2 linked regions of the Rhinolophus ferrumequinum genome follow. The protein of the gene in region 1 interacts with the protein of each later gene in a biochemical or structural test. Links are inferred from orthologs where the notes say so. Each region holds a gene or a part of one and is shown in the gene's direction. Other genes may lie near its edges.

The links.
Region 2: the proteins of RAB6A (region 1) and BICD1 form a complex in vitro, tested with the Homo sapiens proteins (3 studies listed by BioGRID). The link is inferred for Rhinolophus ferrumequinum from reciprocal best matches to the Homo sapiens genes RAB6A and BICD1.

Annotation. Positions count from the first base shown.
Region 1 is NC_046294.1:48,923,474-48,930,763, reverse strand, and holds the start of RAB6A (ras-related protein Rab-6A), read left to right. Parts: upstream 1-4,275; 5' UTR 4,276-4,788; coding exon 4,789-4,858; intron 4,859-7,290. UniProt on the Homo sapiens protein: The small GTPases Rab are key regulators of intracellular membrane trafficking, from the formation of transport vesicles to their fusion with membranes.
Region 2 is NC_046293.1:41,120,151-41,127,210, forward strand, and holds the start of BICD1 (protein bicaudal D homolog 1), read left to right. Parts: upstream 1-3,977; coding exon 3,978-4,190; intron 4,191-7,060. UniProt on the Homo sapiens protein: Regulates coat complex coatomer protein I (COPI)-independent Golgi-endoplasmic reticulum transport by recruiting the dynein-dynactin motor complex.

The DNA of each region.
Region 1 (7,290 bases):
TGAATAAATTTTACACTTCCCCCATAACATGTCCTTGTAGGTCAAGGTATTTGGAAAACAGGTTTTGCCATGAGGCCTCCCCTCTCTTTTTTTCCCTTATAGTCCTTTTAAAATGAGACGTGCTTAAACCTTGCTTAAAACTTGTTTAAACCTTATACCTTGTGTTAGTTGTGCTCCTTTAATTGGTCACCTGGAATTATTGAGCATCTGTTATTTTTATGCTTTGTATATTGACTCACTATTATTTTTAGTATCAATGATTATAATAACCTGCAGAGTGGGTAGAAGGGCTTCACATTTGATACAATTTGAATTCCTGCCAGAGATATTATTTGTTTCAAATATGAGCAATATGATTTCAATCCTTTTCAATCCCTGGACAGTTTTTCTCCTTCTATTGATTTCCTGCCTCTCCAAGAATAATAAATCCTTTTTAGGGAGCAGTAAATAGAAAAAAGCAGTTCCAGTTTGGTAGCTATTACTGTATTATGTATATCATATACATTGTTATATGTGTAACATATATTAATATATATAATACACACACACACACACCCATACACACACATAGTATTGAGTGCCTAATGTTCAAGGAACTGTGCGAGGTGTTTAAAGGGATCAAAAGATGAGAACATCAGATGCTTTCAGCTGCAAGTAACAATAACAAAGACATATGTGAAAACATTACTAAATATAAAGACATTTATTTTTTTGCTAAAAAGAAGCCAGAGGAAGGCCAGTTCCAGGGGAGGTACAGCGGCTCAATGATGACTTTAAGTTTTCCGCTTAGCATCATCAATGGGTTGGCTTTTGTCTTCAGGATTATATATTAATGTTCACAAGATGTCTTAGTTCTAGATATCTTGTCCTTATATAACCACATCCAATGGCTGAAAAATGGCACTTTTTCCTCATCTATCTCTTTTCATCAGGGAAGATAATTTATCTTCTAAGTCTCTGGGATATTTCTTCATCTGCCACTGGCTCAGATCAAATTACGTGCCTATAACTTAGCTGAAGGGAACCTGGAAAAGTATCTGTCATTACCAATATATAATGTGGAAGTGTGTGTGTATTGTTGGACAAACAGTAGTGTCTGCCACAGGAATACAATGAAATCTCAGTCCTCCTTCAAGAAGCTTTGTGTCTCTAGAGGCAGAAAGACAAGCTGCAGTTATATTACAATTTCTGTGTGGTAGCTTCCTGGACACATCCATGGGCTTCAAATGAACGATCCCTTTTAAATTTATCAAAGAAGACTGCTCTAGGTACTTTCGATTTGGAGTTGTCAAAAGTTGTCCTCTCTGATTTTGAGTGATGCTCTCTTTCTCCAAAACACTCTTGCCGTTCCATCTCCACGTGCCCGAATTCCATTGAACCTTTGAAGAAAGCTAAAATAATCTCTCTCATTTATTCAGCAAATATCTGTTGCATGCTTACTATGTAGCAAGCACTCTACAAGTGTTGAAAATACAGGACCTCACAGAGCTTAGTCAGGTGGGGAAGACTGACACTTAATAACAATGAAGTGATGGGGAAGACTAGGGTACAATGGGAGGACAGGCAGGGGTACTTCATACTGTTAATGGAGGTGGGAGCAGACAGAGAAAGCTTCTTGAAGACTTGTTAGAGATGATATCTGAAGGATGAGTAGGAATTGGGGGGAGGGAAGAAGGAAGGGAAAAGTGTTCAAGGTAAAGAGAATAGTGTGTAGAAAATTATGGAGGTGAAAGTGTTGGCGAAAGTGCCCTTGGAAAAAGCCTCTTTAATTTCCTTCTCCCAAGTAATTTCTTCATTTGATGAACGTGTAGCACTTAATATGCAACTTTTAGACCATATGTTTTGCTCTGAAGGCAAAACATTATTTACACAGATAAATATGAACGCAGCTTCAGAGAAGAATGAGGCTGTATATGTGTCAGTGCAAAATGCTAGGTTAAAATATTCGAACATCTGAGGTAAGAGGTAGATTACACCACACCTCTCTTCAAAATAATAGAAATAACATCACCTTTCTAGGTGACCATAGGGACCAGAGCAGCATGGAGAAATTGATTCATAAAGTTCCCGAGGAGGTACAAAGTAATTATAGTTCCAATCCTCAGATGTTACTTTAAAGGCTATTTCAGGAAACATAATGAAAATCTGGTACCCATCAGAAAGAAAAAATAGCAACTCTTGTTTGAAAGAGGTTTTCTTTTTAAATAATCTCTTGGTATTGGGTGTTCTCTGTGTGTGCCAGGGTTCTGAGTTACTGGTAGCAAAAGCCTCCCAAGACCTGACAAGCTATTTTTAAAATGAATTTTTTTTAAAAAAAAATCAAATGTCCATATTACAACTCAGGTTTTTACCATTTCATTTTAGATGCATGTTCCAAAATCTTTCTGCCACTTAGCTGAGAGGAATCAGAAGTTAGTAAATTTTGATGGAGACGGAGGCTTGGGGATATAACTGTTGTCTTGATAGGCTAGAATGGATATTTTACGAATCTCTGTTCCTCCCCTTAATTTATTCTAATTCAGCAATTCATGCCTAGTTTGAGAAGACACTTACTTGTTTGATACTGCCATTTCTATAGCTAAGTAAATAATAACCTCCAAATAATGAGAAAATGTATGTAAATGTGTTTTGTGACTAGTAAGATACTATATACAAATGTAAGGACTTATTGTTTCATTATTAACTTGGGAAGTATTTTTGATACCAGTTTTTAAAAGTGTTCTCTTCAAGCGCAGAGATTACTTTTTTGGATGCTATCCAATAGCCTAGTCAAGTATGGCTGAAGTACGGTGAAGTGTAGATGCCAATTTCTCTAATTCAGTGATTCTTAACCTTTTATTTATTCATCTTTTATTAATAGGTGTTTTTTAAAACTTTGTATTTACAGAAAAATTGAGCAGACAGTACAGAAAGTCCCCATATACCTCTCCCCCACTGTTCCCTCTCATGTAATATCTTACATTAGTGTATTTCTTACAATTAAAGAACCAATATTGATACATCATAATTAACCAACGTCCATCTTTATTCAGATTTTCTTCGTTTTTGCCTAATGTTTTTTTCTGTTCCAGAATCTCATTCAGTTTAAACTTATGTTCAGTTGTCATGTTAATTATATCCACATTATACTTAGTTGTCATATCTCCTTAGGCTTCTCTTGACTGTGACACTAGCCTGCATTTTTTGGGGCATGAGCTATGTTGAAAATCTGCTGAATGCTATGATTCTCTCCACAGGAAAATGCACGTTTCAGATATTTCATTTAAGAGAGGTCCACCAACGGTAGATTCAGAAGCCCTATTTTAGGAGGAACGGATGATCTTTAAAATATCCCCTTCCTCACATTTGGTCTCAAGAACAGGCTCTACCTCTAATTTGTTGTGTGACCTTTTTGCAAAGCTGTTTTCCTACGTGGGCTTTAGTTTCACCATCGGTGAAATGACGGGTTTGTTTTACGTCTAAATCCTTTTCTAGCACAGAAGGTGGCACCTAGAGTTATCACTATCTGAGGAACAAAGGCTGGCACAGAAGACCAAGTCAGGTCAAGCCAGGGAAGTGATGGGCTTATCAATAAGGAGATTGCAAAGGTTCAATGGGGGGAAAAACCAAAACCTGGCTTCCACTTTATGTTTTTGTGGGTTTTCTAAGTTATTTCCTTCCTTTGAGCCTGTTTCCTCATCTGCAAAAATATGGAGGCCCTGCTTCTTACTGTAGTTATGAAACTCCTGGGAGCAACAGCAGAGCATGTACCTAGTAAGATACCGTGAGAAGATTAAGAAGATGAAGGTGGGTAGGTGCACGGGTGAAGGGCGGATCTGAGGAATGTGAGACAGGGCTGAGGGCTCAGGATAAAGGAGCCTAGTACACGTCTAACGACTCTCTAACCCCACCTGTACAATGCTGGGTTCAATGTATCACCTTCCGGCCCCGCCTCCGTCCCTCCCCTCTTCCCCTCCCCGCAGGCTGCGACGCGCCACACTCCGCATGGCCGCCACCGTACAACGCTTTCCACCGCGCGGCAGCCGCGCGCGCTCTCGCGCCGCCACCTCACTCCGGTCCCTGCCCGCCTTTGGTCTCTCGCGATTGGCTCATCCCATACGTAACGTATTCCACCCCCTCCTTATTCCACCTCCTCACTTCCCCAAGTTCCGTCCCGCCTCCTTGCTTCCCCTGACGCGAGTCGAAACCAAACCTGCCGACGTCTCCGCGGCGCGGGAGGAGCCGGGAGAGCAGGCTAAACCAGGAAAGTGCTGGCTGTGGCGCGCACGCGCACGCTCCCACGCACGCACGCCGGCGGGCGGCGGGGCGGCAGGCTCGCGCCCAGGCTCGCCCAGCGCCGCGCCAGAGGCTCGCGCACTCAGCAGGTTGGCCTGCGGCGGCGGCAGCTGTGGGAGCTGAGGCGCTGCGTGTCAGAGGTTCCAGACGTCTGCGGCTCCGGCCCCGCCACCCTCTGCCTCTCACCTCACTCTCCGTGCCTGGTGCTGAGAACAGAACAGCACTAGCCTTGGGAACCCTGAGCACACCCCTGACTGCTTCTGACACCAATCTCCTTCCCTTCCCAGCCGCGGGCCTCGGTCGGTGCCAGGCGACTCCGCGGGGAGGCGGTGGCGACGGCTGCCTATCTGTGGAGAGCAGTCCTGCCCCCTAGCCTTGCTCCGCCGTCGGCCCTGCTGGGGCCGAGAGAGCTCGGCGCCCGCCCTTCCTTTCACCCTTTTCATCAACCGATTGGAGTAGCGTCGGTCCGGTAGGTCTCTGGGCTGAAGCGGCGGCAGCTCCTCCGGTTCCATCATGTCCGCGGGCGGAGACTTCGGGAATCCGCTGAGGAAATTCAAGCTGGTGTTCCTGGGGGAGCAGAGCGGTGAGTGCGTGGCTACCCCACTCCTGGCGGCTGGCCGCAGCTTCCCCGCACCGCCCCCAGTGCGGCCCTTCAGTCCGTGGAGGCTCCCTGCCGGCCTCGCCTTAGCGCTTCGTTCCACCCCCAGCCCTTCCCGGGGTTCGCCGACCCCTCTTAGCCACCGGTTCCTTTTCGCCTTGATCCGTCGGTCGGATTTTGACCCTTTCGTGCCCGACTCCGGCGTCTCCTTTCCCCGCAGCCCGACCCTCTTCCGTCGATCTGCCTCCCTATTTCCCACCCCGCCCAGCCTCCTGTCCATCCCTTTCTTCCTCGGGTCTCACCCACCCCAGCCCCCTTTCTTGAGCCCCACCCTTATTCCTTGCTCTTATTCCAGTTCGTCAGCTCTGTGAGGCCCACCCCGGGAAGCCCCACTCCTGGGAACCGGCCCTCTTCAACCTTGGGCATGGAGGGTAGGATCTGGGCGTTGTTTTCCCCAGAGGCTTGGCCCTGAGAAGTGCGGATCTCATGGAAGGGGGGGGGTGTCGTAGAAAATTCCTGGATGGTTTTCACTTGGATGGGGAATTAGTCTGGGTTATAGAAGACATATATCTGAATTGGAGGCGACTTGAGGATGGAGTGGTTGAGGGGTGAGAGGGTTGGCGATGGCAGTGGCAATTTTTACCCCTTGGGTTAGGCTGTGGCTTTTTGGAAAACCTCATTTTCTTCCCTTGACTTTCATCCTTGACAATTCTTTTGGCAGTGTTGATGCTTTTCTGGTCTCTGCCAGATGCTATGTCATGATCGTTTTACTTGGAATTTTTCACATCTCACCTCTCCTTTTTCAACATGAAACAGTATCTGATTCTCCTCATGGTGGTGCATACAGGAATTACTGGGAAAATGTTAAGTATTCCTTTTATCCTTGAGTATTTTCCAGTTATAGATGTAGGATTTCTGTGAAAGAATGCTTGAGAATAACAAATATCTTTGTTTAGTGGATTTCCTTTGGGAGTATTGGAGTAGAGTAAGAAGAATAGATTCATCATCTAGTTTTGAAAATTAGATCGAAATATGTAATATACCCCTTCTGCTAAAGGACTCCTTTATGTTTAATATTCCATAGTATCTGATGAGTGAAATTCTCATTTACTTGGTCAGGCTTCTGCTGTTGTTATAGTTTGTATTCCATACAAGATCCTAGTTTTGTGATGGCTGTCTCTAAAATTACTTCTTGTAATTTCATTTTTATGCTGTATTATGCAAACTTGACACTTGGCAATTTAGAGATTATCATTCTTTGTTTTTCTCACACTTATCATGACCATCTTTAAAATTCACACATTGAGAGATTAGTTTCTCACAAGTCATCAAACATTGTTACCCACTTGGTGTCTTAGGTTAGACTATAGAAAACATTTGTTATCTTTTGGTTGGAAAGAAGATAACTGATATAAATTCAGAGCTTTTATTACTACCTTGAACTATTTATACTATTTTGTATGTCATTAAAGTAGGTTAATACTAGTTGCAAAATTGCTTCCAGTTGGACCTGAGAAATCATTTTTCTCCTTTCATACATAATCTTTCCCCTTCCCCCTTACCAAGGAAAAATGATGTCTTCTCTTTGCTTTTGAATTTTCCTGAAGTAGGTATAAGCTTGTTTCTTTAAGTAACTTGATTAACCTATGAGGTTGATCCTGGTCCAGGTGTTTTATGGTAATTTCAGGATAGTGCCATACATAAAATAATAGCTTATTGGTCATTATTGATAAATAGGATCTAAAGTGCTTATTGTGTACTCTAGGGATGTTATTGCCTGCCTTCTGTTATGATACAGAGCTGTTTAGTTTGCATGAAAAATCCATTAATATCTCTCATAAGAAGATTTTAGTATGAATAGAGATTATAACCAGTATCTCCAGGTTTCCTTTGAATTTCTTGAGTATTTATGTTCTAATTCACATTGCAGAGTGTTATGGCTTTTCATTTCTTACTTTTTAAAAGTCTTTAATAACTCTTTTCCTCCCCAATTCCTGAAGCCATCTTAGATTTTTTTTTAAATAGACTTTGTTGTTTTAGAATAGTTTTAGATTTATAGAATAATTGAGATCATGCAGAGGGTTCCCATATAGCCCCACCCAGTTTTCCCTATTATTAACATCTTACATTAGTGTGCTACATTTGTTACAATTAACCAATATTGATACATTATTATTAATGAAGTCCGTAGTTTATTCAGATTTTCTTAGGTTTTTTCTTTTATTTATTTTAAAGATTTTTTATTAAAATACAGCTAACATACACTATTATATTAGTTTGAGGTGTACATCATAGTTATTCAACAGTACCCACCTAGCTCTAACCAGTGTTATTACCGCATTATTGATTTTATTCCCTGTGCAAAAAAAGTGATCACCATAAGTTCAGCAACCATCTGACACTGTACTGCACTATCA
Region 2 (7,060 bases), on another chromosome or scaffold:
GTATGGTGGGGTGGCATAAAGACAAGGTGGGGAACACAGGTAGGAGAGAAGGGTAGCAATCAGCATTTCCACAGGGGCCCTCACACAACTAGACGCTGATCCCTGGAGTTGCCCAAGAAGAGAGGGTGTCCAGGACGAGGGGATTTCTGTGCCCAGGAGAGGTTTGGGGACTGAACTTTCCTTCCCTCTCAGATATACTTGCATGTGAATAGCAACATGCCCGTGACCAGTGTCCCAGGTTCTACACCTGTTTCTTCTCGTAGAGATGTAGGGAGGGCCTGGTTCCTTCCCGAACTTGCATTAAACTGTTGATTGCCCCACTACAAGACTTTGCTAGATCCCTCATTCATTGTCTTATATGAGCATCCTCTGTAACCATGCCCTGGGACACCAGTGTGGGGAGGAGGGGAGCTCCTGATTTAGTTAGTTGGGCTATTTACAGATTTTTCTAATGCATGCCGAGAGGCTGAACAGAAGAATCCTGACTCTTCTGGTTCTTGTGTAGTGTGAAATTCATTTGCCGTGGGAAATTTTTAACTCAGTGAATGTTTGCATTTTGAAAGACCATATACTTTTAAAACTTTAGATATAATTGACATGTAACATTGTATTAGTTTCAGGTGTATAACTCCTAAATTCCTTATTCTAACCTGCTTAAATCTTACCCTGTTTTCCTTCAAAAACGTAACAACTGAACATATATGCTGCTCCGATGTGGCAAATATTCCTCTATTCACAACAAGCTCATTAGTAGTTATATCATCATCTTTCAGAAGGAGGCCACGGAGGCACACACAGCCAGTAAGGGGCAGAGTTGGATTTGACCAAAGCGGACTAGCTTCTGCTCTTAACCACTATGCTGGATCCCGCCTGTCAATGTTATAACTTGGAATTAGTGTATGAACTTATCTCTTTGTTGTTGCTTGGGTTTTTTGGGTCTGTTTTGTTAGTTTGTCCCTCCCATAATAAAAGCTCCATGAGATCAGGGATCATTGACCATTGACATCACATTGGTCATTGATTTCACAGTGCCTACTGTTGTACTGAGGACATAATGGGTACTTACTAAACATCTGTTTAATACTTGAATGAATGACTGAGAGCAAGAGAATGCAATATTTATGCTGACAAAGTTGGTTTGGTGAGAAGATGGTTTGAGGTACTAAGTCACAAAATACAATTTTTCCTAAATATTTGTAAGTGAGAAAGTTCCATAAGCAATTGGAGGCTGTTAGGATAAAGAAATACGAGGAATCTCTACTTCCAAGAATGGTTTAAGAAATAATTTTCTAGATACTTGTCATTGATACATCTATATCTATGTCTATCTATATCCAAATCTATTCTTATTTATCTGTATTTACACCTACACTGACATTTCTATGTCTATATCTTACATATACATGATATGTATGACATATACATGAGAGAGAGAAATGTAACTATACAGTACTACAAGAGTATGGTGTACAGTATAAGTAAATAAGTTTAATTTTTTCAAGTTAAATACCAACATAGAAAGGATCAAAGTTGTAATAAGCAAAATCTTGTTAGGATAGTGTACATGTCTGAATGAAGTCAGACTGAATACATTAACAAAAATGTATCAATCAGAAAATGGTACAGCATAGAGCATAGGGAATGGGCCGCAATGGAACTTAGAAAAAGGGAAGTCACAGAGGCAAACTCCCTTCTTCATTCTACCCAAAGGAAAGGGAGACGCAGGCAATCTACTCCAAGTGTTATGATCCCTTTAAAAAGGCTATGCTTACACTTTGTGGAGAGATGCCGCCAGGGGCAGACTGGGAGGAAGGCAGTTTTAGCTAGCTGCAATTACAGGTTTCTTTTCTTTTCTCTTCAGCAGTTCATGATCATTCACCATTGTGATAGAGGATGCGTGCTACAGGAGCACACATGTGTGGCTTCCCAGTGCAATGCATAGGTGAAATGATGTGGTCATTATCATCCCCGCTCTCTGCCACGTTAGAGTTCATGGTGGTCGCAAGTGTCAGGTGTTTGCTCCATTTATTTATTTATCTATTTATATTTATCACAGAATATTATGTTGTAATTGGCAGCATCTGGAAGGGAGCTTTCTTGTCTGTTTTGGGAGGCACTGGAAATCACACCATCAGCAACTGTCTTTTTTTCTTTACCATGCACACAATGATGGGAGAGCTGAGTCCTGCTTTCTAACTGAGGAAGCTCTGTGTGTGTGTGTGTGTGTGTGTGTGTGTGTATGTTTGAACACCTGGCCACTGAGAAAAAGCTGTGTAATAAGTGCCACCCAGGGGAGAGGCAAGGAACTGGTCAGACCATTGGTCTATTGATCCTACAGCTTCCTAGTTACACAGAAATGGCTCTTTTTGCTCCTATTGCTTCCTTTCTTCTTAGTTGTTGTCTATTCTCCTCTCTTCTCTCTTCTTATTCTCTTTCACTGACTTTGCCTTGACCTCCTTTTGTGACTTTTCATTGTCACTGTTCATACTGATTAAAGCGGTCATTTTTTGAGCAATTAATATTTAGCTGCTGGGTTTGTATTCGTAATAAGTGAAGGTGAAGCCAACATAATGATCCAGTTCAGGGCTTTGGCATTATGATTGAATTTTGGTTTTACCACTTCAGAGTTGCCTGACTTTGGGCAAATCACTCAAGTTCCCTGTGTCTATCTTTCATCACCTGTAAATTGGGGATAATGGTTCCTACCTCAAAGAGTTGTTAGGTTGGGAGAGAATGTGTGTACCATACTCAGAGGAATACTTGGCACATGGTCTCAAGAACTATTAGCTCTTACTATTTAAAACATGTTTATTGTAGGGTGTTGTTGACATCATATATTGTAAATTTCATGCAGTTTTCCTTTACTGAAGAATCCATAAAATACGTAATGGCACCTAGAGGCTTCTTTCTAGAAAGCTTGGGCGAGGTCAAGCAATCTTTAAAGAAGGCTTCCCTGACGTGGCAATAAGGTTATTTGTTAAGAGTGGGAGGTGAACCATGGCCAAGCTAGGGAAAGGAGGGGAAAGGAGGGGGAGAGAAGGAGACAGGAGCCTTGGGGCGCGCCTGGCAGGCTTTGGAAGCACAGCGTTTGGGTGCCAGAGGCCGGGGAAGAACGCTGAGAGCTCAGGCAGCGAGAAGGATGCTCGAGCCCCGAGCGCGTTAGTTCCTATTTGCTTTTCTTTGGGAAAGGAGCCGATTCCAGACAGTTTGCAGAGCTTGGGCTCACAGCTTAGCGAGAGACCAGGGTCGCCCACGCACTGTCGCGGGCTTGGATGTCCACTCGGGCAAAGCCCTGCGAGGAACTGACGGTGGAGCAGGGCGGAGGCTCCCTCCCCGCGCGCCCCCGGGTGCAGTGGACAGCGGCGGCGCCCAGCGCACCCGGCGGGAGGTGCCTCGGGATGTAACCGTCTGATTCTTCCTTCCTCCCCCCGCGCTGACTCCATCCGCCTCCCCGCCCCCTGCTCGGTGTCCCGGCCAGGCGTGAAGGGAGGGAGCGGGCCGGAGACTGCATCATTCCGCACCGGCTGCAGCACAGCCAGAGGGAGCAGGTGGAGCGAGCGAGTGAGACGCGAGGCGAAGCGCGCGGGGCCTGGGGGAGACCGCAGTGACGCTGCCCGGGAGACATGGCGGCCAGGCGCCTCTGAATAAGCAGAATCCCGAGCCCCACGCCGCCTCCGGCCGCTGCAACCCGGGCCATGCCGCACGGCTGCTGACCGCACGCAGGGGCAGGCCCAGAGGACACATGCGGCAGCAGCTGCCGCCTTGCCCCTGATCCTTTCCCCTGCATTCTCCATGTTGCATTTCACGTCAGTTTCTCGGGTAGGGTAGCTAGCTGCATTGCTCTGCTCGTTCACCCAGCTACACTTTTTCTTTTCCATTTTTACCCTTCCCTCCTCATTTCCTTCTCCCTTACCTGCCTGCTTTGCATCCATCTCCCCCACCCTGTCACCCGCCTCCTGCCTCCATCCACCGGGGCTATGGCCGCAGAAGAGGTATTGCAGACTGTGGACCATTATAAGACTGAGATAGAGAGGCTGACGAAGGAGCTCACAGAGACCACCCATGAGAAGATCCAGGCTGCCGAGTACGGGCTGGTGGTCCTGGAAGAGAAGCTGACTCTCAAACAACAGTATGACGAGCTGGAGGCTGAGTACGACAGCCTTAAACAGGAGCTGGAGCAGCTCAAAGAGGTGAGTTGTGTGTCACCTACTCCCTCCTCTGTTCTCCCCCCGCGCCCCCCCACGCCCACTCATCATTTATAAAGAAGTCGATAAGGATGCGATTGAAAGGATTGTTTCTTCATCTTAGAGCCCTTTGTTGATAAGAGAAGATTGAAAGAGTCCATTGTTTTTCCCATAAGAGGAAAATTGCCCAGGAAATGAATGTATAAGCAGGAATTTGGGATGCAGTGGCTGTGGGGGAGGGAGATTCATAAGAGTCTTGAAGTCTCAGCACTCTAAGGCGACATTCTACTAGGTTGGAATGTGTAAATCAAACTTCTGAAAACTGCTGTTAGTGCAAACCCAGGTTTCCGTGACAATCCCATAATCCCCAAGGTGATAAGTAGGTTTGTGCTGAGGACCCACAATTGCAGGAGGTACAATCTATGGCACCTCTCCGCCTTCTGCTGAATGTAACCACTCTGATGAGAGAAGGAGCTGTTAGAACATCCCGCCAATCTCATTTGACAAAGGCCGGGCAATCTTGATTCTCCTTGGCTTTAGTTATTCTTGTCAACTGGCTGCGGGTGAAAAACAACTCTGCTGGGTGATCCGCCTGCCTTGATATCACCTGAGTGAGGCAGGCTGGGCCTTGCACTAGTCTTATAAGGTCACCCTGACCAGGGAATAGTTAACCCTCCTACCAATGGTCCGAAGAATGGTATAGATCAAGTATGTGGGAGCTGTGCATTTCAAATGAGGCTCTTCTTTTTGAAATGGCTGTATTTATAAAACTGGAATATCACAAATAGACACTTGTCCTCTTTAGTCTTTTGGTATTTGGCTTCTTTTAAAGACTGGCTAATGCATTGGAAGAAAATACTGAATATGCTTTGATTTACTATCAAACACTCATAAGAATACACATATTATTGAAGGAATTCAGTCTTGTTTTATCTGATTCCTGAGGCACTATGGGTAGCGAGTAACCAGTTATAAATTTAAATGTACACACTGCTTTTCTTTGTGGCAAGTCTTTATTTTTTAGGTGCATAGAGACATTTTAAATGTTAACTTTAATTTGGTATATAATATTATCAATAATGTTTTATTATCAATAATGTCTTATAATGTTCTCAAACAGTTTTTTGGGGAGGGGCATATTGTTTTGAGTTGTTAAAAATATTATGATAGAACTAATCAGTTTGCCTTCTAATTTAGTATATAATATGGTGAGCATTTGTACTTTTAGGTACATCTTATTTTTATTCTGATGCCTACATACCAAAAAATAAATATATGGTAAAAATCCTACCTAGAAATCTGATTTTTGTGTATCCGGCTGTACATTTCTAGTTCATGTTTGTCTGACCACGTACATGTCTTAATAACAGCTGGACCTTACTGGTATTTTCCAACTTAGATTAGGTCCTAGGCTGATATGTTTAAATTCAGTTATGCTAAATCTTGTGAAGTCAGGAAACAGGATGGTGAGTGTAATTCTCAGAGATGTTTTGATGCTGAGATGTTTTGATGTTGTCTACCCCTATCACCACTGCTTTGCCACGAAGAGGAAGTACAAACCAGTCAGTGTTAAGCCATCACCTCCTTGATAAAGGACGTAGACATAATTGAATGAAATTTAATGAAAAGGAATGTAACTGTTAACTGACTCTGCTCGATTGAAACAACTCTTCTAGGGTTATTTTCTGTGCCATTGCCCTTCCCTGCGTAGTAAACGTTAATGCAATTGTCTTGCTATTACTAGACCATGAGCTCTTAGGCAAGGAATCTGTCTTAATTTACTTTGCATCCAAAGTGTTTAATGCAAAGCCTAACATAGTGAGTGTGCAATAGATATTTTATGAAATAATAAATTTATACTGGAAGAAGATACCTTTATCTAGCGTTCACTAGTCAATATTGGTTAGTGTCAGAGAAAGACTAAGAAAATTAGAAAGTATAGGAAGTGACTAGTATTAAAAACTACCTGTATTACTTTCTTCAGCAATAATGGGAAAAATGAGAAAACAGTGTTTTGTAGGAATAGTACAATACTGGTTTCTTAATACAGAATAATGCGAATACCAATTATAATTTTTTCTATAAAAATTTTGAGGCATATTTTCTTCTGTATAGCAGGAGGTTAATAAGAATTTATCAGGATTATTTTTACCAAATGATACTTGTTTACATATGTGATTTGAGTTGCATTTAGCATAAACGTAATTCAGTTTTAGGTTCCTAATGACTGGTTTATACAATTATACACTAGTAGGGTAATACAATAATGATTATACTTCATTATTTGATAGTGAGACCTGTTATTTTTATCCTTTAGCTAATATCATGTGTACTTAGTTGGGAGAATTACTTAAATCAGCTAAGTCTGTCTCAATAATTCTTCCTGTTTAAAAAGTAAATCCAAAATAATTGTGCAAATGAAGATATTCCAGTGATGATGTCACACAGAAGTCATTTTTGAAAAATATACTTTGTGAGTGCTCTGATTTTCCAGAAGAAAGTTTTGTTCGTATCCAGCTATATATAGTAAATGATGTTGCATTATATCTATGAAGCCAAATATAAAATAAACCTTTGGCTTATTTTTAGGCTCTGTCAACAAATATGATTCACTTACAAATAATTGGACCAGTTTATGGGAATGTCAACAGAAAAATACTGTACTAAGTCCACACTGGACATTAGTGATTTTCAGTGTGGTAACATGGCTCAGTCTTTACAGGTTGTTTTGTTTCTGAGAACCAGCACCCAGCAGTGTTGCTGCCTTTCTCGCCAGGCTGTGTGCTGTTAGGACAGTCATGCAAGTGAGCAGTGTTGCCTGAAGATGTGCAAAATCAAGATAGTGAGGTCATTTGTTTTTTTTTTCTAGCCGTGTC